3 linked regions of the Pelodiscus sinensis genome follow. The main gene of each other region encodes a partner of the protein of the gene in region 2 in a complex. Links are inferred from orthologs where the notes say so. Each region holds a gene or a part of one and is shown on either strand. Other genes may lie near its edges.

Evidence for each region.
Region 1: the proteins of tubulin alpha-1A chain (region 2) and CFAP276 are in contact, whole or in part, in a cryo-EM structure (PDB 7UNG), measured with the Homo sapiens proteins. The link is inferred for Pelodiscus sinensis from reciprocal best matches to the Homo sapiens genes TUBA1A and CFAP276. Residues at the interface, in NP_001257328.1 of Homo sapiens: Lys112, Glu113, Ile115, Asp116, Leu117, Leu119, Asp120, Arg123, Lys124, Asp127, Arg156, Ser158, Val159, Asp160, Gly162, Lys163, Leu195, Glu196, His197, Ser198, Asp199, Tyr262, Pro263, Arg264, Trp346, Lys430, Asp431, Glu434, Val435, Val437; in NP_001231954.1 of Homo sapiens: Pro43, Trp44, Arg46, Leu47, Asn48, Thr50, Pro51, Thr52, Ile53, Thr54, Ser55, Arg57, Arg58, Ala60, Tyr62, Asp64, Ile67, Pro68, Lys69, Asp70, Asp71, Phe74, Arg75, Lys90, Ser91, Leu94, Leu95, Asn96, Lys98, Thr99.
Region 3: the proteins of tubulin alpha-1A chain (region 2) and PIERCE1 are in contact, whole or in part, in a cryo-EM structure (PDB 7UNG), measured with the Homo sapiens proteins. The link is inferred for Pelodiscus sinensis from reciprocal best matches to the Homo sapiens genes TUBA1A and PIERCE1. Residues at the interface, in NP_001257328.1 of Homo sapiens: Met1, Arg2, Gln15, Asn18, Ala19, Glu22, Cys25, Leu26, Glu27, His28, Gly29, Ile30, Gln31, Pro32, Asp33, Met36, Pro37, Asp39, Lys40, Asp46, Asp47, Ser48, Asn50, Glu77, Gly81, Thr82, Tyr83, Tyr224, Thr225, Asn228; in NP_001041730.1 of Homo sapiens: Tyr28, Pro35, Gly36, Arg37, Phe38, Trp43, Phe44, Arg45, Gly46, Tyr47, Arg48, Thr58, Ser59, Asn60, Gln61, Ala62, Tyr63, Gly64, Arg66, His71, Glu72, Pro74, Phe77, Tyr78, Pro79, Asn80, Ser81, Asn82, Lys83.

The regions. Positions count from the first base shown.
Region 1 is NC_134737.1:16,133,108-16,142,924, forward strand, and holds the start of CFAP276 (cilia- and flagella-associated protein 276), read left to right. Parts: upstream 1-4,930; 5' UTR 4,931-5,016; coding exon 5,017-5,097; intron 5,098-6,623; coding exon 6,624-6,740; intron 6,741-8,091; coding exon 8,092-8,207; intron 8,208-9,817. Other genes in the region: ELAPOR1 (endosome/lysosome-associated apoptosis and autophagy regulator 1), read right to left, coding at 3,802-3,924. UniProt on the Homo sapiens protein: Microtubule inner protein (MIP) part of the dynein-decorated doublet microtubules (DMTs) in cilia axoneme, which is required for motile cilia beating. May play an important role for the maintenance of myelin-axon integrity.
Region 2 is NC_134729.1:4,833,228-4,842,776, forward strand, and holds tubulin alpha-1A chain, read left to right. Parts: upstream 1-4,779; 5' UTR 4,780-4,934; coding exon 4,935-4,937; intron 4,938-6,871; coding exon 6,872-7,094; intron 7,095-7,213; coding exon 7,214-7,362; intron 7,363-8,240; coding exon 8,241-9,221; 3' UTR 9,222-9,442; downstream 9,443-9,549. UniProt on the Homo sapiens protein: Tubulin is the major constituent of microtubules, a cylinder consisting of laterally associated linear protofilaments composed of alpha- and beta-tubulin heterodimers.
Region 3 is NC_134732.1:19,817,890-19,827,648, reverse strand, and holds PIERCE1 (piercer of microtubule wall 1 protein), read left to right. Parts: upstream 1-4,939; 5' UTR 4,940-5,026; coding exon 5,027-5,172; intron 5,173-5,774; coding exon 5,775-5,853; intron 5,854-8,789; coding exon 8,790-8,978; 3' UTR 8,979-9,069; downstream 9,070-9,759. Other genes in the region: MRPS2 (small ribosomal subunit protein uS2m), read right to left, coding at 1,079-1,208, 2,198-2,320, 2,715-2,742. UniProt on the Homo sapiens protein: Microtubule inner protein involved in the attachment of outer dynein arms (ODAs) to dynein-decorated doublet microtubules (DMTs) in cilia axoneme, which is required for motile cilia beating.

The sequences.
Region 1 (9,817 bases), on a different chromosome or scaffold from region 2:
CACCTCCCAATGACTTCATAAATATCTGCATCAGTTACCTTTGGTAAATGAAAGAAACATTCATTTCAGATTAGTTGTACAGTTCCTTTTGAAGCTCTTCAATCTACTTTGGACTTTACTAACTTGAACAATTTAGTATCATCTCCAAATTTTGCCACCACACTGTTTATCCCTGGTTCAACATATTTATAAATTATCTGGAATAGACCTGGTTCCAGAACGGACCCCTGCAGAACACCACTAGTTCTCTCTCCATTTTGAAAACTGACCATTTATGCCTACCCTTTACTTCTGATCTTTTAATCAGTTACCAATCCACAAGAGGACCTTCCCTCTTATCCCATGAAAACTTACTTTACTTAAGCAACTTTGGTGAGGGACCTTATCAAAGGACACTCCGGATGCTGCTGATAGTCGTACACATGGTCACCAGACAGACCCACAAGTGGGACAAACTGGTGTAAATTGGCACAACTCTTCTGACAACAGCAGATGATCTGGCCCATCAGCAGAAGCAACAGAGGCATCAGAAGACAGATCCATCTCAATAGTTAAACATGTCCTTTAAGAAGGAACTACTCCAAGAATAAATGGTTGTGGTCTCAGAGGGGTAGCCATGTTTTTTAAAGTTACAGACAAACAAGTAGTCCTATGTAGGATTGCCAGGTGTCCAGTTTTGAACCGGACAGTCCAGTATTTGAGCTCTCTGTTTGGGAAACAAATTGAGAAAATACAAGTGTTCAGTATTTTCTAAGTAAGATGTAATGTAGATTGTGATACAATGTCAAGTGTGTCTGGTATTTTTGTTGCTGCCATCTGGCAACCCTAGCCCTGCCATCTGGCAACCCTAGCACCTTAAAGACTAACAAATGTAAAGGATCATGAGCTTTCAAGCGTGAAGCCCACTGCATCAGATGAGTTGGTTGTGGGTTCGGCCTGCCAACCAGACTGCTGCTTTGGACACATGTCCAGCAATTGCCAGACACACATCAAGTGATCTCTCCTCACCTTGAGGTCTCCACAGATGGATTATTAAACAGCTACATTCATCTATAGCTGCTAAGTTAATATATAATACATGGAGATATATCTATCTCATAGAACTGGAAGGGACCTTGAGAGGTCATTGAGTGGAGTCCAGTCCCCTGCCCACATGGCAGGACCCAGTACCATCCCTCACAGATGTGCCCCAGATCCCTAAATAGCCCCCTCAAGGACTGAACTCACGACCCTGGGTTTGGCAGGCCAATGCCCAAACCACTGAGCTGCCCTCCTCCCATGTTTGGGGGGTTTGGGCAAATAACACACAAATACAAGAAGAAATATTGCAACAGTCACCCGCGTCACCAAATCCTGCCCTTGCCAAACTCCATTCCATCACAAACCCCTTCTGACAACAAAAATCACTACACAACTCCAGGAGGACGAAAGCCTGAGATCCTGTGTAAGGCAAGAGTCAAAAGGCAAAGATCGAACCCCATTCTGCTGGATGAGGGGATAACCCCCCACACCAAGAGCTTCAAGGGACCTGTGAGCTGAGTCCCACTTCCCAGGGCTGCAGCTCTCAACATTTTGGCCCCCTACAGCAGGGGTGGAAGAGTGTGCGGCAGGGCCCAGGGCAGCGCTGCAGGGCCCCGGGCAGCAAAATTTCGCAGGGCCCCCCTTGACACAGTGCATGCGCCGTGGTGCCAAGGCGCATGCGCAGGGCCTCGGGAAGCGTGGGGCCCGGGGCAGCCACCCCGCTCGCCCTGCCCTAATCCACCGCTGCCCTACAGTGAGGCTTAGGTGCACCCCAGCAAGTCTAACACTAGACCTGGAAATCCCATTAAGAATGGGCCCCCAACCTCATCACATGAGTAGGACTGGGAAGTCAAACAGCAAACTCGAAGTTAGCCAGAGGGTAGGAATGGTGTCCCTGGCCTCTGTTTGTCAGAGGCATGAGACAAATCGCTTGATCATTGTCTTCGGTTCACCCCCTCCAGGGCAGACAGGCTACTGGGCTAGATGGACCTTTGGTCTGACCCATTCTTATGTTCTAAGTTACCAGGATGGAAAAATCTACTACAAACAGATGACCCAGAATTACAGTATATGGCTGAACTGTATCAAAGAGCATCCCTCTCCTCTGGCTAAAACAAACACAGAGACCCTGATCTCACTGACATGGAAGCTGAGAAATGCTTCCTTCCATCCCTTCCTTCAGGAAGTCCCCTCCCACACTCCAAACCCCTTGACCCAAGACCGGAGCCTGCACCCCAACTCCCTACCCCAGCCTGGTGAAAGTGAGTGAGATTTGGGGAGGAAGGGAAATGGAGTGAGCAGGGTGAGGCCTTGGAGAAGGGGTGGAGTAGGGGCAGGGCCTCAAAGAAGGGGCGGGAAGGAAGCCAGGCAAGGGGATTTCTGTTTGAGGTGGATCTTACATTGCACTTAAACTGAAAAAGTGATCTTGTGGTTAAAAAGGTTGAGACCACTGCTCTAGAGTGGAGGAGTGAGAGCCTAATCCAAGCCCCACTCAAGTCCAGGGGGTGCTTTTGGTGGGCTTATAAAGGGCCCAGTCCAGTGCCATCAAGAACCACATGGAGGGGGAGAGCAAAAGCATTAGAAGAGGAGTATTTCCCAGTGAAGAGGCTTGGTTCTGCTCCCACTCACATCAGTGGAAAACTGCTCCATTGGCCAGAGTGTAGCAAACTCAAGCCATTCCTGACAAGGAGAATAGAAGCTGGCGGAAGCTGCTCTTCCTAGTGGAGCTTTGACTGTCTCCAGCCCCTTCCCCTCCTTTTTCCTTCCTTCATCACTGTTCACTTTCACCACCCAACCTTTTCTGAAAGACGACGAACCAATACACACAAACAGAAATTCCTTCCAGTCACCTAGCAGAAAGCCATGGCTCAATTTACAGGCAGCCTTGCCCAAGAGAAGAGACCATTTGTCCGGTGGGATTAGTGCCAATAGTCAGTGAGAAGGGTGAGCATGAGTGGCAGGCAGGACATGGGGAAGTGCCCCTCTGCTTTTAACAGGGATGTAGCAATGCACTACACTTTCCTAGAACCAGCAAGGGGAGCTATGGAACCAGAATGCCAAGGGCTCAGCACAGTGGGAGCACAGTGCTACGTACACCAGATTTCACACAGGACCAAGCTGATCCTGTAGGATGGCCTTACTTTGCCAGGAGCTGCCCTCCTTGGGAAACTCCTGCTCAGGGTTTTGGTTTGGTGCTTGTCTGTAGGAAGATGGCTCCACTGAGTGGGACTCCCCTAGCACATGCTTTTAGGGACAGGAGTAAATGGAGTGTTTTGCTTCTGCTACTAACATGTTTAGTGGGCCAATTCCAGCAGCAGCACCAAGGGTGCCAGAGAGCCCAAACCTGTAGCTCTCCCTAGTGCTTTTGTAAGGCAATGAGAACTCTAGCGAGGCAGGGCAGCCTTGTTTGTCCTTCCCCCCGCCCTCCAATGCATCTACATAGCACCTTACCCCACATCAGACATGGCACTTTGCCATGTTTTATAAATAAATCTGGCAATCAGACCCAGCACAGCCTCACTGCTGCCTGGCTACCCTGTACTGCCTAGACTGCACCTCTCTCTCTGGCTCCCCTACCCCAAACCTACATACCCCTTACAAGGCTCCATCTCTGCAGCCCCTCCCACTGTTCCATACAGCCCCTTAGGGCATACACAGGGCCTGTAGCTCTGCTCATACCCCTCTCCCCAGCCCCTAGATCAAGTCCCCCCCTCGCCCCCTCTTACAAGGCATGCAGCCCCTGGTCCCAGCGCCCCCAGAGAAGAGCCGGGCTCCCCGTACCTCCTTGCAGGCGTGCAGCTCCGGCTCCTCGCCCCGGCTCCCCTGGCTGGCGGCCCCCACCCAGAACAGCAGGAACAGCCAGAGCCCGGCGCGGAAGCGGCTCCAGCTGCCAGCCCCAGCCATGGTGCAGCAGGGCTCAGGTGCAGCCGCCGCGGAGATGCGAGAGGAAAGGGGACGCCGGAGCCCCGCCCAGCTCCTCGGCCCCAGCAACCGCCGCCGCCGCGCGCACCTGGGCCACGCACCTGCGGCTCGAAAGCAGCGCCTACGCTGCGCGTGCCACGGCAGCTCCGCGCGCCAGCCCCTCGCACAAAGGCAGGGAGGCTCGTGCGCACCGCGCTGGGGTGCAAGACGCAGGACCAAATCTGCGCTTTCCTGCGCGCGAGGCCCCTGCCCAGCCCTGTTTGTCTTCGTGCAACTTAGCCGTGTAGCTCACGCACCTTCCTGCTTAGGCCGGCATTCATTTTTTTTGCACGTGCTCACCTCCCTCCTTGTGCTGTACCAAAGCCTTTGTTCTGCCTCGGCTGCAGCACAGTGGCCAGCAAATCTGACCCCTCGACTCCCGGGGGCCAGTTACAGCACGGGAGTAGCTTTTCTGCAATTAGAACCCGCCCCCGCCTCTTTGCAACAGCGCTTTACTGAGTCCGCGGACTTGGGGGTAGCCCCTAGCATCTTTACAACTAGGGGAACTAGGACCCTAAGTGCGTGTGGTTAAGGCTACGGAGTTTGACAGCTATGCTGAAGAAGGAAATCCCTGAGATCTCTGACTACCACCGTGAGAACTGCAGGGCCTCCCCACTATCACCTTTGGCAGGGAGCTGTATGAGGCACCCCTGCCACCTGGGAGCCCCCAAGCTTCCAGCTGCCCATGACAAAATCTCAGCCTTAGGCATGTGCAATACAGCAAGCTGGGGGCGGGAGTTCTTTACACACCTGTGCATGTTGGTGTTTGGCTTTGCCAAGTGCCGTTTCCATGCATTTTCCCCAGTCCCTACCGCCACTGCGTGGCCCCCTGTTTGCACCTGCGGCTGCCGCATCCCCTTCCCTGGAGGCTGCCCCGCTGCACTGCTCCTTCTAGCCACTAGAGGGAGCCCCGGCTCCAGAGCGTCAGCCTTGGAATCCCCGCGACCGTTGCCTGGCAACCGCGGCTGGGTCTGCAAACAGGCGGCGGCGCGCGCTGCTGGCTCTGCTGTGCAGGTGCTGCCGCCCGGCCGCAGGATGCCGCCTACCCGGGACCCCTTCCCTTCCCCCCGCTGTGAGAACGAGGACACCTTCACCGGCCGAGCCAGGCGGAGCCAGGTGCGGGCAGCGCCGGCCGCTCCACCGTCCCCGCCCAGCTCCGCTCCTGGCAGAGTCACCTCGGGGCGGGAAACGCGGCAGCCGCCGCCGCGCGGGGGGGAGGGCAGAGCAGAGCCAGACGTCAGTGTCACTTTGTGAAAGTTCTGGCCTCAGTTTCCCCCGCTTGCCTGAATTTTTCACAAAGCAACAAACCGGCCGGGGCGAGGGAGAGGCGGCGCCTGGAGCAGCTTTTGACTCGAGGCTTGCCCACCTCCCTGCAAAAGTAGTCCGGTGGGGGGCCACCCTGGGGTCCCGAGGCCAATGCCATAACCCCTGGGCCACTCAAGCACCCGCCCTACCTTCAGCTAGAAACGCGCGGCTTGCAAGACAGCAGGGTCCCTTTGAATCAACTGTTCAACGTTTCAATCCAGCTCAGCCATGCTCTTAACTGGTAGAAATGGGCGGGGGGGGGGGGGGGGGAGGGCTAAGTTCAGCTGCAGTCCAAGTGCACAGAGTTCACGGCGGGCTCGGAGCTGAGTTTCCAAGCAGTTTGCTAGTCTAGGCCTGGCTTCCATAGACCCTGTGCTAAAAATGAGATCTCTAGATCTCATAGATCTCATAGATCTCTAGACCCTGTGCTAAAAATGAGCAAACACTTGAGTCCCACAGCTCTGTAAACAAATGGAGTGAGGTCAGATCTTCACTAGCAGAGAAGCAAGGAACCTGAGTAGGCAGAAAGCAGCAGGGAGTTTATTGTGGGATTTAACTGTCAGAGTTTTGCTTCAAGTAGTCACTGGGGAAAGGGCTCTGGGAAAAAGCCAGGAGTTACCTGTTGGCTCTGCTGGGCAGTGGCTTCTCCTGTCAATTGTTCATAGCCTCCCGTCACAGAGCAAGATGGACCCTATAGCTTCAGGGGCTGCACAAACACAAGTTTGTTGCTGTCCCCAGGAAGTTATGGATCCTAACAGCCCAAGCACTCCTGGGGAGAGCAGAGATGCCAGAGACATAATCCACCATTACTGTGCTAGGATGATTGGTCTAGAAAATGACTTTCTGAAAAATCCTGCAGGCATGTGAGGGGAGATAGGGGACCCCTTGGTGTCCCAAGTGCCTGCTGATAATTATGCCCTCTTGTATTGGTCTGGGGACAGAAGGCTAATTTGGCCCTACATACAGAATCATGTACATGCACATTGGACTAGGGAGCAGTGCATATGTCCAAAGGATGATCCTTTGCTATAGACAACAAGGCATCCAATAGAGACCCTCATGATGTTCCCAGGTGGGTGGGGCTCAATCATATAACCCTGGGGTCCCCAAGACAATGCCCTAAGCCACTCCAGAACCCACCCTGCACCTTCCTACACTCAGGGTGCCCATTATCCAGCCTTCCTAATGGGGCAGCCACTCCCTGGGTGGGTAAGGCTCAAATGAACAACCCTGGGGTCCCAAGGCCAATACCATAACCCCTCGGCCACTCAAGCACCCTCCCTACCTTCAGGCTGTCTCTTATCCGGGCATGAGTGGCTGTCTGTTCTTTGTTCCAGGTAAGCCCTTATGCTGAGCCCATCCATCTAGTCCAGCAACGGGACCCTTGGAATCGCCTGCACAGAACACCTACCCTGTCCAGCACCAGGAAGGAAGTCTGGTATATGGAACCTGAGGTACAGATTCCCAGGTTCCCACCCTCCCTCTTGCTGCTCCCTCAGTGGAAGGGCACAGCCTGAAATGGTCACAGGATTAGTAGATAAAAGTTCCCCCAGTGCAGCAGCATCTGCTTGCCTCAGCTGGGCAGCCGCAATGACTGCACCAAGGGTATAGTAAGGCCTTTCACCAGCAACCATATTGGATTCTTGTCTGTGCTCCACTGGACTGATTTCTGTCTGGGAGCATCCCAAGCCATGAAAGTGTGCCATCCTCACCCCAAGCAGCAGGGAAGAAGTGCATAACACCCCCGCAGTGCAGCAGCCTGGACACCTCTGAACAAGAACACTTTGCAGCTCTCTAGAGTTTTAGGTCACAGGCCTACCAAGCACTTTACAAACATGAATGTCACCTCACAATCCTCCAGCCCTTGTGCAGAGGTGCATTAAGATTTACTGGGACCTTGAGCACAAAGAGCACTCCATTAAAAACCCATGGCTGCTCACTTTTTAACATGGTGTTGTTTGAGGACCACATTGCCCCCCAGAGTGCAATCCTCAGGCAGGCCAAAAGTGGTACCTGCCAGCAGGGGCAGTGCTTCACAGTGTGGGAGCCAATAAGTGGATCAGATCCCCCTTGCAAAATGTCTGCTGGCAGCACCAGCCTCTTTTCAGTGCAGGGGGGGTGCTCTGAGAGGAGTCTTAGTCCCTCTGCCAACAGAAGGCCCAGCCTCTTTCTATGGCCCCAACCCTGGCTGAGGAGGCAAGGATATGGGCCAGGGTTCTGCTGGCTGGTAACCTGGCCTTCTGCCCCGGGATCTGAGGCTCCCAATAGCAGCCTGAACTTTATGGTTGGCTCTTACCAGTCTAGTTCCAGCTTCCAGCCTGAGCAGGGGGCAGGGCTGTGGTGCAAGGAAGGAGGAGAGAAGCATATGGGCTCATGTTCTTCCCCATACATACTTCCACCAACATTGTGGCACTCTTACCGAGGGTCCCCAGATTGGCTAGAGCTAGTGAGCCCATACACTGATCTCCTTGCTTATGTTATATCTGTACTACAGATAGGGACAAGACACAGAAAAGCAAAACTACTTGCTTAGGGTCACATTAGGACTTAAGCATTTCCAGAGCTCACTGCCATGTCTAAGTCTGTTCCCTCCCCGTATCTGGAGCCCAGCTGAGAGTCCTGACTCCCGGACCCCTGCTCTAACTAGTAGAGCAACTGAGACAGAGTCGTGTGTACAGCCCCACAGTGGGGCCACAGCAGAGATTAGTTTGTCCCCTGCCTCAGGAAGCCAACACAGCACAGAGGGTCCCTTTGCCAGGGTTGTAAGAGGCACTGGCTAGTGACTCTCATTAAATCCTTCTGCAGGTTCCCAGAGACAGCCTGGATTTTAAGCTCACCTCACTCTACAACCACCACAAGGAGCTGCTCCAAGACAAGAACCAAATAGTCATCCACAAGGAGACCCTCTTTGATGACCATGGGTGAGCAGGAGCAAGTGGCCTTTCCCCAATCTCAGGCAGGACACAGCTGCCTCTGGAGGATCTTATTGGTAATAGTGAGTGCCCCAGTCTGCCCACAGCTGCAAGGGCACCAGTAGCAATGGCTGGTTAGCTTTGTCATGCAGCTGGTGGGCCCATTTCTTTTGGGGGCAGGGCAAGAGATACTGCAGTCCTGAGGCCAAGTCTTTTCAGTCTTCCTTAGCCATAGGGAAGCGTGACCTAATGGTCAAAGTCAGTCTGACTGCCATCTGCTACGGCAGAGTACCAAACAGTCTTGGGCCATGGTATCCAAGCTGTTCTGAAGCAGTAGCTACGCTCAACCAGCCAAATAGCTAGATTGTTCAAGCCAACTAGCCAGATGTGGCCAGTGGCTAGCATGTTGGACACCACAGGTCTAGGGTCTGATTGCCTGGCTCTGGCAGACAAACACCAGTCTCTTGGCCTAAGATGGGGAGGCTGCCACCTCAAGAGTGGGGCTGGCAACAGCTGGTAGGGGGGAACTCAAGCCCACCCTATTCCACCAGGTTCCAGTCTAAGGCCCTAACAGTATCAGAACTTGAGTCAGGGGGATCCCACCACATGCTGGCAGCATTTAGCCTAATAGATCACTCCCCACTGCACTCCTCACCTGCCTCTTCTGACCGCATCTACTTATGGGAGCATCCAGGCATCCCCAGGCTCCTCCGCATGAGCAGCTCCAACTGGGCATCTTCCATCACATCTGCAGTCTGAAGATTTGTGAGCATCTAGACTGGAGCCAGTAACCTGCATCCTCCTGTGTCAGCATTCATCCCCAAATCAACTGAGTTGCTCCCTTTTATACCTGGGTTCCAGTCAGAGCATTCCCAGCAGGGCCATGGGTGTGTGGCCTCCTCCAGTGGGTGGGCTTAGCTCCAGTGTGGGGCTGGCATGCAGCCTACATATTGCAGAAGATTCTGGTCTCTTGGCTTGTGCATGGAGGAGGTCTAAGCATAGGTTCAGTGATGTTGCAGGACCATTATGAGGAAGGAAAGCTCCTTCCTAGAAGCAGCTCTTGAAATGATTTTACCTCAGCAGCAGGGCCACCTGTAGGCATACACAGCAGGCACCTGAAAATGTGGGACCACACCGGAACAGCTGCCTCAGTAAGTAAGAGTAGGTTGGCTCCCACATGCCCACCGCACACTGCTACCTCCTTAGGCAGGGTCCATATTCACAGAGCTGAATGCACCAGCAGGGGGCTTCAGAGTCCATATGCTGATGCTAGTTACTATGAGTACAGTGCTATAAAGATGGGTTTGCAGCCTAGACCCCAGAAATGCAGGACTCCCAGGACAGAAGAACTGCTCTAAATAGTAAACATATCAGGTTTGTCCATTTGAAGGTCATGGGAGTTGTCAAGGCTGTTCCCCACTCTGGTATGATGAATGCAGAAGTGGGGGCCCGCAGGAGCACTCCAAAACCTTGCCTCTACACTCAGGCTCTGGTACAAAAAACTTCCCCCCCAAATCCTAATACCTAGATTTTGGGAAATCTGCTGCCACCACCCAAGTAATTCCAAGAAAACCAGGGAAGAGATCACTTGGGAGACCTCCTCCCTAAGGTAAAACTCT
Region 2 (9,549 bases):
CAAACTCCTTGTACACGGGCCATGGCCTGTGAGTCACTGCTGCCCTGCCATGAGGACTGAGGGGGTACGCACACTCATGGGTTGGAGAACTGTGTGCAGAACGCCGCCTGTACGCTTCTGAGCGTGGCATTGTCTGGGTGTGACAATGAGCGTCTGTCTGTCTGTGCCTACCGTTGCCTCGCTAACGTCACCACGTTCCCAGCTGGGAACAGCGTTAGCCTGTGCTGTGATAACCCTTCGAGACTTGCTCCCGGGTCTGACTGGCATTCCAGTCACATCAGTCCCACCGAGCTCTCTTGGTAGGAACGTAGGTGCATGCGGCTCCGCTCTGGATGCGCCTCCTTCTTTCTATCCCCGGCCTCTTGGCTTTTGCGCTGGAGTCCCCAGACTGCAAGAGAAAAGCAGCCTCAGCAATCCATGATGGGGGTGGGGCTGAGAAAGGGACCAGGCCCAAGAATGTGTCTGGAGAAATAATGTGACCCCCTCTTGCCAAGAAAAGAAACCCCCTGGATCTGGCCTGTCTTATTAACATCTGAATGTCAGCCAGCCAGGGGGGGACAATTGCTTTCTCATGGGGCCCCCCTCCCTGTTTCCCCAGCTGTCTCTCTGTCTTCCAGGCTTTTTCTATCCTCATCTCTCCCCAGCCTCTCTCCTCCCTCTCCCCTTCCCAGGCCAGCTTCTCCTGGGGCTCAGTCATATGACTTGCAAGGTGATAAAGGAAGACCAAATGCCACCAGGGATTCCTGTTCTGTCTCCTAGCAACTGAACAACTCGTTGCCTAGCAGCGGGTGAGCAGGGCTCTGTCTTACAAACCTAATTAGAGAGCAAGCACCTCTGAGGCGCCTGTGTCCTTGAGATGGAGCCATTGATTTTATTCCACAGCGCCCAGGGGATAGTTCATTGATCCCTCTGCTGCATTGGCAGAGCCATTGCCTCTTGCTTTAATAACAACCCTCTGCCCTGCCCTAAGACCTTCCACCCAGGATCTAAAGACTCTTCACAGACTTTCGTGAATTGCCTCACAGCTCCCCTGGAAGAGGAATGAGCGGTACAACCCTCGGCTACGTCTAGACTGGCATGATTTTCCGCAAATGCTTTTAACAGAAAAGTTTTCCGTTAAAAGCATTTGCGGAAAGAGCATCTAGATTGGCATGTACACTTTTGCGCAAAAGCATCCGTGGCCAATCTAGACGCTTTTTTGCGCAAAACAAATCTGAGCTGTCTACACTGGCCCTTTTGCGCAAAAGCTTTGCGCAAAAGGACTTTTGCCCAAACGGGAGCTGGCAAGTTTTTCCACAAAATCAGCTGCTTTTGCAGAAAAACTTGCCAGTCTAGACACAGCCCACATGTTACAGGTGGGGAAACTGAGGCACACGGTGATTTGGTGACTCACACAAGGTCACAGAGCAGGGCAAAGGACAGAACCCAGGAGTCCCAGTTTTTTCTTCCTCCTAGAGCCTGGAAAGGAACCAAGGAGTCCTGATTGCCCAGATCTCTGCTCTAGCTCTCTCCTGAAGGCTGGCGTTATCAGCAGCAACACAGCGCCCCCTAAGCTGCCATGGGAATGAAGCCATGCCAGCTCCTTGCATGAGGCTGGCACAGGGATTGATCTTGTGGGGAAGGCCCTGAATGTGTGGAAAGAAGAACAGTGTCCTCTCCCATCAATATAGTGGGAGGTGTCCCCATGCACCCAAAGAGATGCTTCATGCTCCACACACCCCTCAGGAGACACACAGCACAGCTGGAAAAAGCAGCAGGGCACAGCCTGGCATGCCTGAGACGGGGTGGACAGCAAGGCTTTCTATAAAAGGATCTAAGAGCCGGCTGTCTGCAACCTGCCCAGCCAGCATGGAGCCAGGATCAACACCCTTGTTAACCCCCGCCTGACCCTCCCCGGCTTCTATATCCAGTCGCTGTGCTCTACCCTGCCCTCATCTTAAGCAGGGCTAAGCAGTGTTGTGCTGCGCAAGCTCCTGTGAAACCAGATGGGCTGGGGTGGGGGAAAGAGGGGAGGAGGAGCTGCTGCTGTGAAGGCCAAGTCTGCTTCCTTGTGCATTTCAAGGCTAGCATTCACTTAGGCAAGTTCTGCCTCTGTGCTGGGCCTGAGGATGGTCAGGGACCACAGTACTGTGCCCATATCAAACTCCTTCCACTCCAGGCTCTTAAAGCATTTTGCAAACATTAAGGAATTAAACCTCACCAGCTTTCTATTATCCACCATTGTGCAGAAAGAGAAACTGAGGTACAGTAGGGCTCATGAACTTGCCCTGGAGATCCTAAGTCTCTTGATTCTTAGTTTTGTGCCTTAACCACTGAACAATACTCCCTCCCTAAATACATCCACTGGGCACCTCTCTGGCTCACAAAGGTAGGTTACAGTAGGTGTAGCTGTCCCAGTGCAAAATCCTAGAGGAAGCTGCTATTTTCACGGATGGAACCAGGGCAAATTCTTGAAAGGTGTGAATTGGGACCAGCTGAGAGTCTGGTCCCTGGTGTAGGTAAGGCCATAGATTAGAGTGAAAAGAAGGAAGTCAGGGAGGAAAAAAAGGCCAGCAGCATTTCCTGTGCACCAGCCCATAAACATGTAACTGATTTTGGTGAGTGTTCAAATGGATGATTGAGTTTCAGCTCGGGATCTTCCGGTCACTAATGCACTGCAAAGCCCATTTACAAACTAGAGTAAAATGACCCTGAGAACTTGACAGGTCTCCACAGGAAATTGAATTTCCTGAGCTCTCCTCCTCCCCCTCTCCCTCTCCCTGGAAGAGGTATATATATCCAGTAAGCAGCATGTTGTACTCTAAGCTGCTGTACATGTAAAGGTAAATGTAGCATTTTGCTGTGTCCTGGAGTATAACTAGATGGCTCTCTATGTAGTGCACAGGCCAGAGTCCAGGGCAGGATCACAGGCTGTTGTTTCTATTTGTTTCGCTACAATGTGGTTAGAAATTTACAGGTCTCTGTGGGTAGACAGGAACTTGACGAAAAAAACTCAGGTCTGAACATGGCCAAATTGCAATGCTAGCTATCCACCTCTTCTTTGAGCAGCATCCTCCACTGGTGTAAATCAGTGAGGTACCACTGAAGTTCATTTTCACCAGCTGAGGATTTGACCATCTGTTCTTCAGAATGCCCCAGAAGTTCCTTTGTTCAGCTGTGCCTATGGAATCCTGGAGTCTCTTTGTACCTCATCAGTTCCCTGGGGAATGTAGGTCCTTTGTCCTTTTATGATTCAGGAGCAACTCCAGATACAGTCTGTATGTGCTGTCATGCCACAGGGGGCCAATATTCACAGGGATGTTAGTGCAAAAAAATAGCCAGGGGGCTGGGGCTACTTTTCCTGCCTGTTAGAGAGAAATGTGTCAAACTAGTAGAAGCATGGGAGCAGGAACCCAGAGCAGGCTGCAGAATATGGGAAATGTGTAGAAAATCGTGATTTCTTGTGAGGGGGATTGAAAATGTTGCTCACCAGTCTGCAACAAAGCAGCCAGTCTCACAGCTCCACCTGCAGCAGCTGCTGCCTGTCCCCTCCCCACCCCCTCGCCTCAGTTGCCAGCTCTGCAGAAATGGAGCTAGAAAGGCACCTCCGGCCCTGGAAAAGAGGATCTGAGCTCGCCCTGTGGAAAAGGGGGAAATTGGGGATGAGAGACACCTCCCTGTGCTAGCCTCCCCTTTGCAATCGGGTGTAGTGGAACAATTTGTACAGTGTGTGTGGGGCGGGAGGGGAGGAGGCTGGGAGCCATTGAACAGAACTGCAAACCTTGTATATGATGGACATTATTTGGAGCCCAGCAGCTGTGCTGGCCAAGCTCTGGCAGCACACTCCTGCATGCCCTGAAGGTGAGGTCGGGGCTCTAACTCTCAGCTCACGGTTGCTGTAAGTTGGACCAGCCATGACACTCACTACACACCAGCCTAGGGACAGACACTTCCCATCACAACCCTGTGGGGTGGGAACAGCCAGCTCCATGGGGTGGGCCGTGGGCGGTTCTCTGAAGATGGGGATGCATGACTGGAAGGGTGATCTGGTACTTGCAACCCTATGCCCCCACCCGACCCTCCCCTGTATAATTCTCCCATGGCCAAGATGCCAAGTGCTCCCTACAAGCACAGCTGCCAGACCAGCTGTAGCCCAGGTCAGGAACCTCCCCAGACCTAGAGGCTGCTAAGAACCCTTGAACCAAAGTGCAAACCCTGGAACTGATAGGAAGCACTGACTCAAGTCGGTGGGGTGGCAGCCCCCCCAGTCCCAGCCAGGCTCTTCCCTGCTGCTGGGGGGCGAGGTGAGTGCGGGATCCCGTGGGTATTTCGGGGGACGACGACACAGGGAGCAGGGGCTGGAAGTCACTTGCATGGGAGCACCCCACCTGGCAGAGAGCAGGACTGACCCTAGACTATCTCCTCGGGGGTGGGAGATCCCTGACAGCCCAATTCCATGTGGTACCAGTCAGGAGCCCCGAACCTGCCTCACCCGACCCTAAACTTAGCCCTCGGGGAGGAGGGGGCTGGATGACCATGTACTTGATCCCCACACGCTCTTGGCTCATCGGGGGCCCCAACTAAAGGCTCTTCCCTTCCGGTGTCGCCCCAGCTTTCCCCACACAATGCGGCGCGAACCTGGAGGCGGGGGAGGGGGTTCACGCACGCTCCGGATCGGGGCTGACTGCAGCATCTAGCTGCTGCAAAGCCGCCCGCCCCGCCCGCTCTTTGTCTGCAAGCTGGGGGGCGGGGCCATGACCTCATCCTGAGCGCTCCGCACCAATCGCCGGGCGGAAACGGTCGAGGCGGACCAATGGCTGGCAGCCCAGGCCCGTCGCCATGGTGACCGAAGGGTATAAAGGAGGCGGGCCGGCGCGCACACCCTAAGTTCTCTTACAGCGATCCCCTAAGAGTCGCGCGGTAAGAAAGCGGCCAGCGCCCCGCCCGCAGCCAGCATGGTAAGGGGCGCGTGCGGGGCTGCACGCCACGGGGGGCGCGGTAGAGCAGAGAGGAAATGGGGCGCTAAGGGAGTGCGGGGGGGGGCGCGGCTGTCCCCCCCGCTGGCTGCAGGGCTCCCGGGGGGGCGCGGCTGTCCCCCCCGCTGGCTGCAGGGCTCCCGGGGGGCGCGGCTGTCCCCCCGCTGGCTGCAGGGCTCCCGGGGGGCGCGGCTGTCCCCCCGCTGGCTGCAGGGCTCCCGGGGGGCGCGGCTGTCCCCCCGCTGGCTGCAGGGCAGGGCAAATGCAGGCGCTTTTCAAAAGCTCCCAATCTCCCCGCCTCGCTGGCCGGATCGCAGCCGGCGGCTCTGCTCCGCCTTCCCCCGTTCCCCCTTTGGGCGGAGGCACCAGCTGGACTGCGGGAGGGGGACGTGCCAAACCGCCGGGTCCCGGCTGCAAAATCCTTCCCAGCAGAGCAGCCGTGGCTGCCCGGGCTAGCGGGGGATGGAGGGCCACGCCCTGGCGTCCCAGAGGAGGGCGGGCTGCCCGGCCCCCTGCCCACAGAGCAGCTGAGCCAGGGGCTGGTTTCCCACCGAGGTCCCATTTCAGCATCGGGCTGGGCTGCACTGACCACGCCTCTGCTCCCCACTCAACCCCCCCCACTAGCTAGCGCAGGGGAGGGGGCCCTGACCCAGCAGACAAAGGGGGAGGGGGCCTCAGGCGCTTGGGTCCACACTGATGGTTCTGGGGCGCAGGAGGCAGCTGCCTGGATGGGGCTTGGGAGGGAAACGTGCCGTGTAGGCGACCCGCATATCCCTAGTCCTTGTATCGCTGGGCTCGGTGCACGAGGGCTGCATTTTAGCGCCTCGGCAGCATCCCCAGGGCGATGGTCGAGTTCGCAACTCCCCGCTCTCTGCGCACTAAAGGCGGAGCGTCGGGGCTGGGGAATGGCAGCCAGCCCCTTCCCGCAGATGCTGGCTTGCTTGGCATGTGAGTTAGCTTGGACTTTTGTTCTGGCTGATCCATTGATTGTCTCCGCTCCTAGGCGGGTCTGTTCCCAGATGAGGTCAGCGGAGGGGAATTGGCAAACCAGTCTAATGAGATCATGCTGGAAATAGACCAGCCAGTGCTAAGCCAGGGCTGTCCGCACAGACTCCGGCAGGCATGGGGCAGAGGATAGTTAATGGTCTCTCAGTTGCACCAAATGAGCCTGTTCCCAGGCTGGGTGTGGTAGCTCCATTCATTATTCCCTAGGCTAGCCTTCCTGGCTGGGGAAGAGCCATTGGCATGTGGGAGGGAGGGCCAGGTACTGGGGGCACAGAAAGCAAATCAGTAGTTTGGAGGGTGAACTTACCAACTGCTGAGCACCTGCTGGGAAAGGATTCAGCATCCACAATGGGGCCAATTTCTCCATGAGGCACCAGAGTTGTGGGGGGTGGAAGTCTGGCTTGCCTTGTTTTGTAGACTGGGATTCTTATTCATGAGAAGTCCCATCCCAATCCTCTATCCAAATCAGTTTTGCCAGTTCTCTGGGAGAAGAATCAGGCCCTACAGATAAAAAAAGGGCGTGGCAGGTGGGCACATTTCAAGAAGTGTGATGCTGCAAAAGGGTTTCCAGTTACCTCCTACCTGTCTGGGTTAACAAGTATTTTCTTCTCTCTGTACTCTTCCTTTGCCCCCCTATTTTGAGAGCATATGGTGGTTAGACCATGTGGTGTTAAACAAAGAGTTAGCATCTGTGTGACTGTGCTGCTGACTCTTCAGAGCATGCCCCTCTCTAAAGCTTAACCCCTGATACTGCTGCTACAGTTATAAGCACTGAAGAGCCAAAAAAGGCAAACATGGGAGTGTCAAAGGGATCTTCTAGAGATACCTCCATTGCTACTTATTAACATGCAATTGCAGACCAGGCCAATGTGTTCACATCTCTTCCCTGCCTCCCATTCTCTTCTCCACAGCGTGAGTGCATCTCTATCCACGTCGGCCAGGCTGGTGTCCAGATCGGCAATGCCTGCTGGGAGCTCTACTGCCTGGAACATGGGATCCAGCCTGATGGCCAGATGCCCAGTGACAAGACCATCGGTGGAGGAGATGACTCCTTCAACACCTTCTTCAGCGAGACAGGCGCCGGCAAGCACGTGCCCAGGGCTGTCTTTGTGGACTTGGAACCAACCGTGATAGGTGAGTATGCAAAGCCATCATCTAACTGCTTTCTGGACTCCCCTTGTAAGCCCATGTGCAGACAGCTACTGTGCATGGACAGTGGGGAGAGACCGACTCTCTGCCTTTCCTCTCCCCAGATGAAGTGCGCACTGGAACCTACCGCCAACTCTTCCACCCTGAGCAGCTCATTACTGGCAAGGAAGATGCTGCCAACAACTATGCCCGTGGGCACTACACCATTGGCAAGGAGATAATCGACCTGGTTCTCGACAGAATCCGCAAGCTGGTAGATACCATCTCCTTTTAGCATAATCTGGGCAGGTTGTGAATAGAAAGCTGATTGAAGAATGTAAATTCACTGCTGATGGATTTTCCCCCATTTCCAATTCCAGATAATCATATTGTTAATGTTTTTATTGCCACCATATTTGTAGGTGGTCCCAAGGTGAAGTTAAAACTCCTTTGGAATAGAGTAGTTACTCAGAGCAATCTTGGGATAAGAATACCAGACAGTGAATACAGACAAGAAATGTTTTAAGAGATAAATTATTACATTGCTTCCAATTGCACTGGATTTACACTGATGAAACTCCTCTAAGAATGATGGAGTGGGCCCAGATTAATAGAACAGAATTTGGATTCTAAGAGGGGGAAAATGTCTAGGATGGGAAGAAAGTAAGAACTCTTCTCTCTTCCCCCCCCCCCCCCCCCCCCAAGAAATAACTAATCCAGTTCAATGATCCAATCAGTTGACAAAACTAGCAGGCAGCAGGTTTAAAACAAAAGGAAATGCTTCACACAGCACAGAGTCAAGCTGTGGCACTCTTTTCCTGGGGGACTGTTGTGAATGCCAGAATGATCACAGGGCTCAAAAGAAATCTAGATCATTAAGAATAGATCCATTGGTGACCATTGGTGACAATTAGCTAAGGTGGTCCAGGATGCAACTGGATACTTGGTGTTGCAAAGCCTCTGACTGCCAGATGCTGGGACTGGATGACAGATGGATCACTCAGGAATTGCCCTTTTCATTTCCTCTGAAGTACTTGGGAGTGGCCACTGTTGGAAGAAAAGATACTAGGCTAGATGGACCATTAGTCAAACCCAGGATGTCTGTTCTTGTGTCTTAACAATAGCTTCCTTTGTGTTTCCACCTTCTCTCAGGCTGATCAGTGCACAGGTCTCCAGGGCTTCCTGGTCTTCCACAGCTTTGGGGGTGGCACTGGTTCAGGGTTCACCTCCCTGCTGATGGAGCGTCTGTCTGTTGACTATGGCAAGAAATCCAAGCTGGAGTTCTCCATTTACCCAGCACCTCAGGTCTCCACCGCTGTGGTGGAGCCCTACAACTCCATCCTGACCACCCACACCACCCTGGAACACTCTGACTGCGCCTTCATGGTGGACAACGAGGCCATCTACGACATCTGCCGCAGGAACCTGGACATCGAGCGCCCAACCTACACCAATCTGAACCGTTTGATAGGTCAGATTGTGTCCTCCATCACTGCCTCCCTGCGATTCGATGGTGCCCTGAATGTAGATCTGACAGAGTTCCAGACCAACTTGGTGCCCTACCCCCGTATCCACTTCCCTCTGGCCACCTATGCCCCTGTCATCTCTGCTGAGAAAGCTTACCATGAGCAGCTTTCTGTAGCAGAGATCACAAATGCTTGCTTTGAGCCAGCCAACCAGATGGTGAAATGTGACCCTCGCCACGGGAAATACATGGCCTGTTGCCTGTTGTACCGTGGGGACGTGGTTCCCAAAGATGTCAATGCTGCTATTGCCACCATCAAGACCAAGCGCACTATCCAGTTTGTGGACTGGTGCCCAACTGGCTTCAAGGTTGGTATCAACTACCAGCCTCCCACAGTGGTTCCTGGCGGTGACCTGGCCAAGGTGCAGCGGGCTGTGTGCATGCTGAGCAATACCACAGCCATAGCTGAGGCCTGGGCTCGTCTGGACCACAAGTTTGACCTGATGTATGCCAAGCGTGCCTTTGTTCACTGGTACGTAGGGGAGGGGATGGAGGAGGGGGAGTTCTCGGAGGCGCGGGAGGATATGGCTGCCCTGGAGAAGGATTATGAAGAGGTTGGTGTGGATTCTGTTGAAGGGGAGGGTGAAGAGGAAGGGGAGGAATACTAAAGTACAATGTCACAACGGTGCTGCTCTTACAGGGAGCTTAAACTATTCTAAACATTCAAAATGTTTGGTCCGATCAGTTAATTTGTATGTAGCAGTGTATGCCCAATTGTGTGTGTTTGCCGTATGGTAACTGATCTGTGCTTAAAATCATGGAAGTTTTTGTTACAGACCCAAACCATCCACTTCTTGTGGGTTTGAATAAAAAAGCATTCCCTGTGTTAGAGGATCTGTCTTGTGTATTTTACTCAACGTGCTCCTTAAACAAAACAAAACGAAAAAAAATCAAGTCTTAAACCTCCACAGCACTGACAGGAACATGTAGTTGAAC
Region 3 (9,759 bases), on a different chromosome or scaffold from region 2:
CTAACAAGATGGTTTATTAAATGATGAGCTTTCGTGGGCCAGACCCACTTCCTCAGATCTGGCCCACAAAAGCTCATCATCTAATAAACCATCTTGTTAGTCTTTAAAGTGCGACATAGTCCTGTATTTTATTTAAGGGAAAGGGCAGTTGAGGTCCTAGCCATACAGATCATTCTATCACACCCTGATAGACAGGGGTTCGCCCAGGTGAACCAGGGTCTTACTTTGGTTCTCGATCAACTCACTGGAATGCCAGAATATTTGCAGTAAGAACCCTTTGGACCCCTACAATCTTTAGCTTACAATGCTGCACGAGACATCAAACAACACAGGGCTGGGCAAGATGCGGCCTAGGGTCCAGCTCCGGCCCGCCTAACACTTTGATCCAACCCCTGGACGGCACCTGGCCACTTTCTATTTATGTCCTGCTGCCTGTGCACTCAATTTCCAGGTGGTGGCTCAGGCAGCAGGATCCTATTGAAATGACTTAGGGCTGGAGCCATAAGCCCATTAAATCCTAGCAATTTAAAGGGCTTGCAGCTTTGCCGCTACCATGTTGCCTTGCAGCCGCCCAGGGTTGCTGCAGCTCTTTAAAGGGCTCCCGCTCATGGCACTACCCCGGCAGGAGCCAGAGCCTCAAGCCCTTTAAATAGCTGCAGTAACCCTGGGCGATTGCCAGGCAATGCAGTAGCAGCAGAGCCGGGAGCTCTTTGTTGTGTTTTTAATTCAAAGTTTCTGGCCGTAGACAACTCTGGGGGAAGGAGAGTCCTCAGCCCTGCCCCTCCTGCCCTAGGCCCCGCCCCTCTGGGGGTGGAGCCAGCCCATGACCGTGTACCAAAATACGAAAATTATTGCCCACCCCTGAAATAAAATAACCCTTCTCCGTGCGACCGCAGTCAAGCACAGACTTATTGTCAAAGACCTTAGGAAGGAACCACCTTGCAAACACTTTTCAGGGCAAAGAATCCTCCCCTTCTTTTCACCAAAGACCCAATCAAGAGGCAATGGAAATAGACCCATTGTCTCAACGGTTAATGGCTCAACCTCAAGGCTCCACACATCAAGTTCTGAAACTGACCGATGACGGCACCCTTCTTTGTGCCCCAAGTGCACTCTGGCATCGAAGAGATCTTTCAGGGAGAAGAGCTCTTTCACGTTGAAGAAGTCCGAGTGCTTGAGGGGCTCAGTGATGAGCTTCTCATTAATAGCTGAAAGAAGGACAGCGAGAGGTTAGAGCTCCGGTCCCAGTTTGTGCGGCACAGAGGTTCGGTTGTGTTGTAAAAGAAGAGTGTTGTCTAGTAACTGATTGCCAATAACAGCACAATGTTGGGGTACGCATAGGGTGGATAGTGAGTTTACGCCATCCCTTCCATCCAGGTATCTTAATGCTTTTAGGCTTTCAGGCTCATATTATTTATCTCAGAGTAGAGAGGTACGGCTAGGTTAAGTGACTTGCCCTACGTCATATGGGAAGTCTGTGGCAGAACAGGGAACAGCTCTCAGGAATCCTGACTTTTGAGCCCAAATCTCAGGCATGAAGTGATCCTTCCTCTGCTAGGCACATGGTCAGAGGGGAATCAAATGTACTGAATAACACATGCGTATGCAATCTGAAAACTAAATAGTCAATTTGGCTTAGAAAAGATGCTCACAAGATACATGATCCTCTGGCGAAAAGCAAACTTGGTGGCTACCAGAGAGAGATGGTTGGCTTATTTCAACTGTCTTTGGTCAGTATCAGCCGAATAGGCTGATTCCTCTCACTCTCCTGAAACAGGTGGGCTATGTCTACACTGGCCCCTTTTCCGGAAGGGGCATGTTAATTTCAGCTATCGTAATAGGGAAATCCGCGGGGGATTTAAATATCCCCCGCGGCATTTAAATAAAAATGTCCGCCGCTTTTTTCAAGAGCATCTACACTGGCCCCGATCCTCCGGAAAAAGCGCCCTTTTCCGGAGGATCTTATTACTACTTTGAAGATCCTCCGGAAAAGGGCGCTTTTTCCGGAGGATCGGGGCCAGTGTAGACGCTCTTTTCCGGCTTTTCTAAAAGCCGGAAAAAAGCGGCGGACATTTTTATTTAAATGCCGCGGGGGATATTTAAATCCCCCGCGGATTTCCCTATTACGATAGCTGAAATTAACATGCCCCTTCCGGAAAAGGGGCCAGTGTAGACGTAGCCGTGGGGGGAATCTTACCATTGGGGTCTGCTGGAGGATTTGCTTCTGGAGCAAGAAGAGTTCCGTAAAGTCGACTGCTGAGCTGGGAGGTCCTGGGGGCCGCTTTCCCCAGGGACTCAAGGCCCCTAAACCTGGGGGCGACTGCCCATGGAGAGAAGGGGGACAGGAAACAAAAAGCCTTCAACAAGGAGTTAGGGGGACCAAACCCGCCGATAACCCCCAGCCGCACCCGTCTGCAGAACCCAAAGCCCCTCCCAAAACCCTTCCGCGGACCTTGAAACAGAGGTTAACATTCGAACCACCCCCCTTCCTTTCCCAAAGGGGGGGAAACTGAGGCATGGGGAGGGGGGAAACTGAGGCACAGAGTGTCAGCGCCTGTAAAAGCTCGGCCCTTTGTCTGCTCTGGCAGGCAGGGAGCGTGTGTGTGTGTGTATAAGGGGGGGGGGGGGTCTTAAAGCCTCAGCCCCTACAAGCAGGAGCCAGCTCCGCTTTGAAGACAAGGCTCCCGCTGCCCAGCCCCGGCTCCCAGCCTCACCCGCCCGCAGCAGCCTGGCCGCGGCCATGTCCTGGGCACAGCACGGTCCCTGCACCGGCCCCGGCCCTTTCCGCTTCCTCTGCGCGCAGCCGGGCCCGCCCCGCAGCTCCGCCCGCTGCCCTCGCTCCGCTCCCGGCCCAGCGAGCGCTCTGCCGCGGGGAGAATGCAGACGCCCGGCTCCCAGGCAGCAGCCGGGACTGGGCGGGAGGCAGGGAGGGGGACACGTGGGGATCCCCCCCCTAGGCAATTAAAGTCAGGGCCTTGGACCAGGCGATGCCTCTCCTTTAGAGGGGAGGGACTTTTGGGGGGTCGGGACCCAGGGGGAAGTCAGCTGGGGGCCGCACACAAGTGAGAAGCAAAACAAACACCCCCCCCCCAAAAAAAACCCACCCCCGCATCTCACTGACATGGCCCCCAACTGAGAAGCAGAAAGACTCCACCTATTCCCCTTGCACAAGGGGGGGCAGGGGGGAGGGCTCAGGGTAATAGGGAGGCAGGCTCAAGGAGTGGGGTCTGGGCAAAAGGGAGGGTGCAGTAGAGGGCTGGGAAGGTCCAGGAGCAGACCGAGTGGGAGGTGGGTGCAGGACCGAAAGGGAGGTGGTGGATCTGGGCAGGAGCTGGGTGCAGGAGAGGACTGCTCATTAGCTGCTTCCTCCCCTGCTTGTGGGTTGGATCCAGACCCAACTTGCCTATCGCCTGCAGGGCTCAGGGCTTTTCCCCCCACTGCAGTGGGAAGCCAGTGCTGGCACGCCAGCCTGTGGGGGACTTTGTTTTGGAGGGCTGGAGTGCCTGCCCCAGCCCCCTGATGCTGGGGGGAAGCCCTGAGCCTCAGGGGCTGGATCCAGGCGAGCCAGAGGTCACTTCCAGTCCCTGGCCTTCGGTTCCCGACCCCTGCTCTAAATACAAAACATGACTAATTTGTAGTGGTATCCTGTATATAATACGCAAATATAACACTTTATTATTTCTATTTTCATTGTCCTTTCTCTTAGAATAATATCCTTTTTTGGTAATGCTATAGGGCCTCTTAAACTTGACATAGGCCTCAGCTGTGTTAGTCTGGCCCTGGGTGCACCTTTGACTGCTTCCAGGAGTGACCTGTGAAAGGTAGCCACTGCAAAAAATTGGAAAGGGTACAGAGAAGAGTGACAAGAATGATTAAAGGTCTAGAGAACATGACCGATGAAGCCAGGCTTCATGAACTGGGCTTGTTTAGTTTGGAAAAAAGAAGATTAAGGGGGGACATGATAGCGGTTTTCAAATATCTAAAAGGGTGTCACAAGGAGGAAGGAGAAAATTTGTTCCTCTTGCTCTTGGTTTCTGAGGACAGGACAAGGAGTAATGGGCTTAAAGTGCAGCAGGGGAGGTTTAGATTGGACATTAGGAAAAAATTCCTAATTGTCAGGGTGGTCAAATATTGGAATAAATTGCCAAGGGAGGTGGTGGAATCTCCCTCTCTGGAGATATTTAAGAACAGGTTAGATAGACATCTGTCAGGGATGGTGTAGGTGGAGCTTGGTCCTGCCTTGAGGGTGGGGGGCTGGACTCGATGACCTCTTGAGGTCCCTTCCAGTCCTATTATTCTATGATTCTAAAACCTCCCTGCCATATAGCATGTGTCAGCTGGAATTCCTATTCTGGGCCTATTGGGTTTCTACAGAGACCAGAACATGTGTGAAGCCCTAGAAACAATAGGATTGATCAGTGAGCAAAATGACTGCTCGTCAGATCCAACCCTTTTTCACAAATAAGTTGTAGGATATATGGCTTTGACTAGGGAGGTAAAATCCCATTTAATTAGTTAACGAGTTACACATCAGATCTTGTTTAAATGGTCATCCGATTACATGGGGAGGAGGCTGCTCTGGATCACTCCTGCCTGTTACCTGTTACCTTACTGGCTGATGCTTACTGGTTAACCATTCACATCCCTAGTTTGGACTGCACTAGTACCTAAAGGCTCAAATCCCATTAGGAGACAGACGGGAGCACAAGGAAACAATGAGACAACATGGGTCAGCAAATGGGCCTTCCTCATACCTGCTTCTCTCTGGTCCCCAGACCTCAAGAGACTACTCTCAGTGGAGTGCAAGAAAAGCATTTGTAAGCTGGGTCCTTGTGTAAAAATAAAAAACCAAAATAAGATAAAAGCGTACTGTGCCTTTAAGAACTTTGTTGCCAAGTTACAGCCTGTCTCTTAGCAACAGACAGTTTGTTACTTAAGCACCCTCCCATTTTCCTTTGTGCCTGGTCATTTTCCTGCCTCTTTGTCCAGCTTGGATCAGCAGAGTCCCCAAAGGCCTTAGCTCAAAATGCACCAGGAACATCTGCCGGAAGCATCGGCCACCAGTGAAAAAGAGGCAGAAGTGGGTTGGTCCCAGAGAACCAGTGATTACTACAGAGTTAGTGATGATTTGCCACCCCGGTTCAACCACCCTGGATGGTTTCAGGGCTACAGGTAAGGAAGCTGATATAACTTGTGTGATGAGCAAAAGCGGCATGCACAGTGGGAGGGGTTCACCACACATCCAGAGGTGGCCACATTTTGCAACAACGCCCTGTGATCCTGTGGCATCGTCATGCTGTTGGCAAGACTCTGAAAATAGATACCCATTTTAAGACCTGAACTGCTTCTAGGAGGTGCTCCATGATTAGCCACCATGGCCAGAGGTCCCCAGCATGCTTTGCTACAGCTTCATTCAGATCCCAGCTTTCCAGAGTGCAGATTGTGTAGAATTTTCCTTGTTTTTAAATTCCTCCAGGAACCTTTCCTTGCTGTTTCTGTAGCAGACAGTCCCTCTCTGCTCCCTCAGTCTCACTGTTGGTGAAAGACCAGCTGCTTAGCAGCCTATACCACTTAGAAATGCCCTCTCATCTCTCCTCACCTTATATATTCCCCATCTCATCCCAAAAGCATCTTTTCAACTTTGTCTGCACTTAATGCCCATCTGTTGCTGTAATTTATCTCCATAATCGATACCATTTAATGCTGTAGAGTGCTGTGGGATACAATGTGTATGAAAGAAACCATTCCAAGTAAAATTACCTTCTATTGTGTAGAACGAGGGAGCCTCATCCAATGTACAGGACCACCAACCAGACCTATGGAAGTAAAGCACCTACTGTACATGAAATGCCAGTAAGTATATGCAACACAAAGCTAATTACAGTGTGGATCAATCTTACCTTTTAAGCGAACTCTAGGCATGCACTGAATATTTGTTTTATCTGTGGAAGTACTTAAAAAAAAAGTCATGCTTTTTGCTTGGTTCCTTTGTTTAAAAATCTGTCAATTCAGTTAGAGCTGACACATTACCTTCCTTACGGAAGCATCTATCCCTTGCAGTATTTTAAAATACATATATTATCCTGCGGGCACTTAGCGTTTACTCACCCTCCTGAACCCAAGTATCGCTCGCTCCTGGCATGAGCAAACTGGGGAGGGAAGCCATGTGTGCACGGCCACAGCCAGCCAGAATGCAGGCACAAAATAATACTAAAAAGTAGTTAGGAGAAGGGGAGCAAGGAAGAATTCTGATGGATAAAATTTATTTTCTCATATCTTTTGTTAAATTTGAGTGCTTTCAATCCAGACCAGCAATGGTTCAAATTTAGATCTCCTGTATAACACCCAATAAGCTAATTTTTCAATGGCTATTAACATTTTTATTTCATGTTACCACTCCAGCCTCTTACAAAGGAAAAATGCAGTAATATATTGCAGGAAAAATGGAGGGGCATCATCATAGTTCTATTTTAATTTTGTTGGTCTCACCAAATCTTTGAAATCAGAAGGTGGCATTTTCAGTAGCCCCTAAGTGACTTTCAGAAAGATATATGCTCTCATGTTGCCTAGGGGCTTTTGAAAAATCCCACCCAGAAATTTCAGTGTCTCCAACAGCACATTTTACAGTATAGCAGGGTTAGAAAGAAAAGACTCAATGGTTTAAAAGGGGGCAAATGCAATGACCTAGAACAGCGATGGGCAACCTAGGTTAGTGACCAGGCTCCATAAGTGGTCCTCTTTTCTCTTAGTGAGCCACAAGATTATTGTAACCAAGATGGTCTACCACAGTGTTTGTTAAACTGTGTTCCACGGTGCACCGGTGTGCCGCGGAGAACAACAGAATTCAAAATGGCCACCCTTAAAGGGGCAGGCGACTTTTTTTTCCCCTCAACAAAAAATCTTTGGTGTTCCTCATAAAAAAAATTATTGTTTGGTGTTCCTTGGTCTTAAAAAGTTTAAGAAACACGGGTCTACCAGGATAGGATAGTTTTGCTAACTACGCGTGCATATCTAGTATTTGCAGGGGTACCGAATGAACTGTAGCAGCTTTGATTGGATTCAGAGGGAGTGCACAGATCTCACAATGTTATATACAGTCAGCACACACCTCACTTCATGTGCCCTGGCTTCATGTGTGTGTCACTTTAGTAATACTGGTGGGAAAAAAACCAACATGGATTGAAGTCAGCGGAATCTGGCAACCCTGCATGTGGGCAATAGTGATGTAAGCAACTAGCCGAGTACCCAGTGGCTGTGTCTACACTGGGCCACTTATTCCGCAAAAGCAGCCGCTTTTCCAGTGTAACTTGCCAGCTGTCTACACTGACCGCTTGCTTTTCCAGAAAAGCAATGACGATCTACTGTAAAATTGTCAGTGTTTTTCTGGAAAAAATTATTCTGCTCCCGTTCGGGCAAAAGTTCTTTTCCGGAAAAACTGTTCCAGAAAAGGGCCAGTGTAGACAGCACAGTAGTCTTTTCCGGAAAAAAGCCCCGATCGCGAAAATGACGATCGGGGCTATTTTCCGGAAAAGTGTGTCTACATTGGCCACAGACGCTTTTCTGGAAAAAGTGCTTTACTGGAAAAGCATCCTGCCAATGTAGATGTGCTTTTTCTGGAAATACTTATAACGGAAAACTGTTCTGTTTTAAGCATTTCCGGAAAAGGGTGCCAGTGTAGACGTAGCCCATAAGCATATGCATATTGGGTATTCAAGTAGTGACTCGACTAGTTTCTTCTCCCTTTACCTTTTGCTGCCTCTAGCAGGGGAAAGAAGTAGGAGCCAGTGCTGGGGGGAGCATGGTTCCCCCAGCACTGTCTCAGGGGGCAGGGGATGGAGGAGCAGATGCAAGCCGGCAATCAGCTGATTCCAGGCTTGCATCCGGTCCCCTGCTACACCTCTGCCTTCTAAATGTACTAAGAGCTTGGCGGCTCTTAATACATTTAAAAGGCGGAGCCGCCATGGGGTTATCTCTCGGGGCTGGAGTTAACTCCGCTGCGGCTCTGCAGTTTCCCCCCTTATCAACTGAAATTCTGTCGATTTCTCGATTAGCCGATTACAACTTCGCTTCTAAGCAACAGTAAATAAAAAGTATCATGGGCCACACATAGAACCCCAAATGGGCTGCAGGTTGCTCACCACGGTTCTAGAACCTCTTTTGAAACACAATGGAGTAGATAACATTTTAAATTAGACATATGTCTCCCCTCTCCACATAAACAAATTGAGTCTCTAGCCACTTGTGGCTGAAGTCTGATGCCAAAGAGAACACGGTGTTTATTCACAAACACCCCCCCAATTATACTGCTACTAGTGCATAAAAAAATAATCAGACGAGCCAAGTTGGAACACAGGGATTGCCAAAGTGAAAAAAATAAATCCTAACCAAAAGCACATGGTGCTGACCAATGCCTGAAGCTTCAGAAGGTGGCCCTAGTTTTTCTCCCCACTCACACATAGCATATCACAATGCATCTGTCACAGACAGGTATACTCAAGAATTGCCGGTTCTGCATTTAGCTGAAGTTGGTGCAACCTCTCCAGTCTGCTCCATTGGTGTGCTGCAGAAATCAACTTTGTTTCTGCAAAATTTAGGACATGTTTCCTAGAGCCCAAAGACTCTTGCTTAAAAATATGCAAACAATCGGTGGGTATGTAGGTTCTTTCTGCCCCTGATCATAGCTGGAGTTTGGTAACTTGTGTAATTATATCCTAGCTATTGTAAAAATACAGAGATGCTATTCATATGGGTATCTAAAGTTTTTCCTCTTGCTTTTCTCCCTCCTCCAGACCTCTTTTAACATTACCTCACATGCATTTTCAAAAAATCTTGGTAAGTGTGGCCTGTATAGGAATAATGGGCTCAACACCTACATAGAGAAAAGTTACGTGACTGGCGCAGATAACTTCATCACCTTCTACGACAGACTCAACTTTCACCCCAGTTACAACGGCAGTGGACCATCCCACTGTGAATAATGAGTCAGCCGGGATATCTGTTTTATGACACCTGTTCTTTGGTTTACTATCTACTGCCTGGTTAATAAAAAAAGCCAAGAAAACAATAGAACTGCCATTTCCTTAGGATTTCTACTTCTCTCCTAAATCAGCACCCAAGACTCCTTTTGAAAACATGACTGGAAACTAATGTTGCTTCTGCACTGAGTGATGTTAATGTACTTCCATCTGCCACATTAGGTTGCAGGATAGTTCACCACCAGAAACACAGGCATCTATTACCATAATGCATTTTTAAGCTGCAATGGGAATCTTTTATTGTAATGTCTGACTTCAGGTTACCATGCTGAAGAGGAGCCTAGATCCAATGTTAAGGTAGTTGAAAAGTTCATGAAAACGCAATAAAATGAGAGCAAGGATGAAAACTTTGCCATGGAGAGAGTAATAAGCAAAATATTGCTTTAGAGCAGGTGTGTAAATAATAAAAAATCAAGAAAAATTCTGTTTTCTTAAAATGCCTATGAACATACGTGAATTCCATGCCGGTGAAACATTGATGGATGGCCCGAACCTATAGCGGCAGTTTTCAAACTTTTTTACTCACAATCCAGTTGAAGAAAATTGTTGATGCGTGTGAGCCAATATCCTTTGACTAAAGCAGGGGTTCTCAAACTTTGTGATTTCATGACCCCCCTCTAAGTTGCTCGCAACCCCCCAGGGGGTCGGGTCCCACAGTTTGAGAAACAATGGACTAAAGTGTGAGCTCTGGGATGGGTCTGAGCAGGACAGCTTCCGCTTTGGG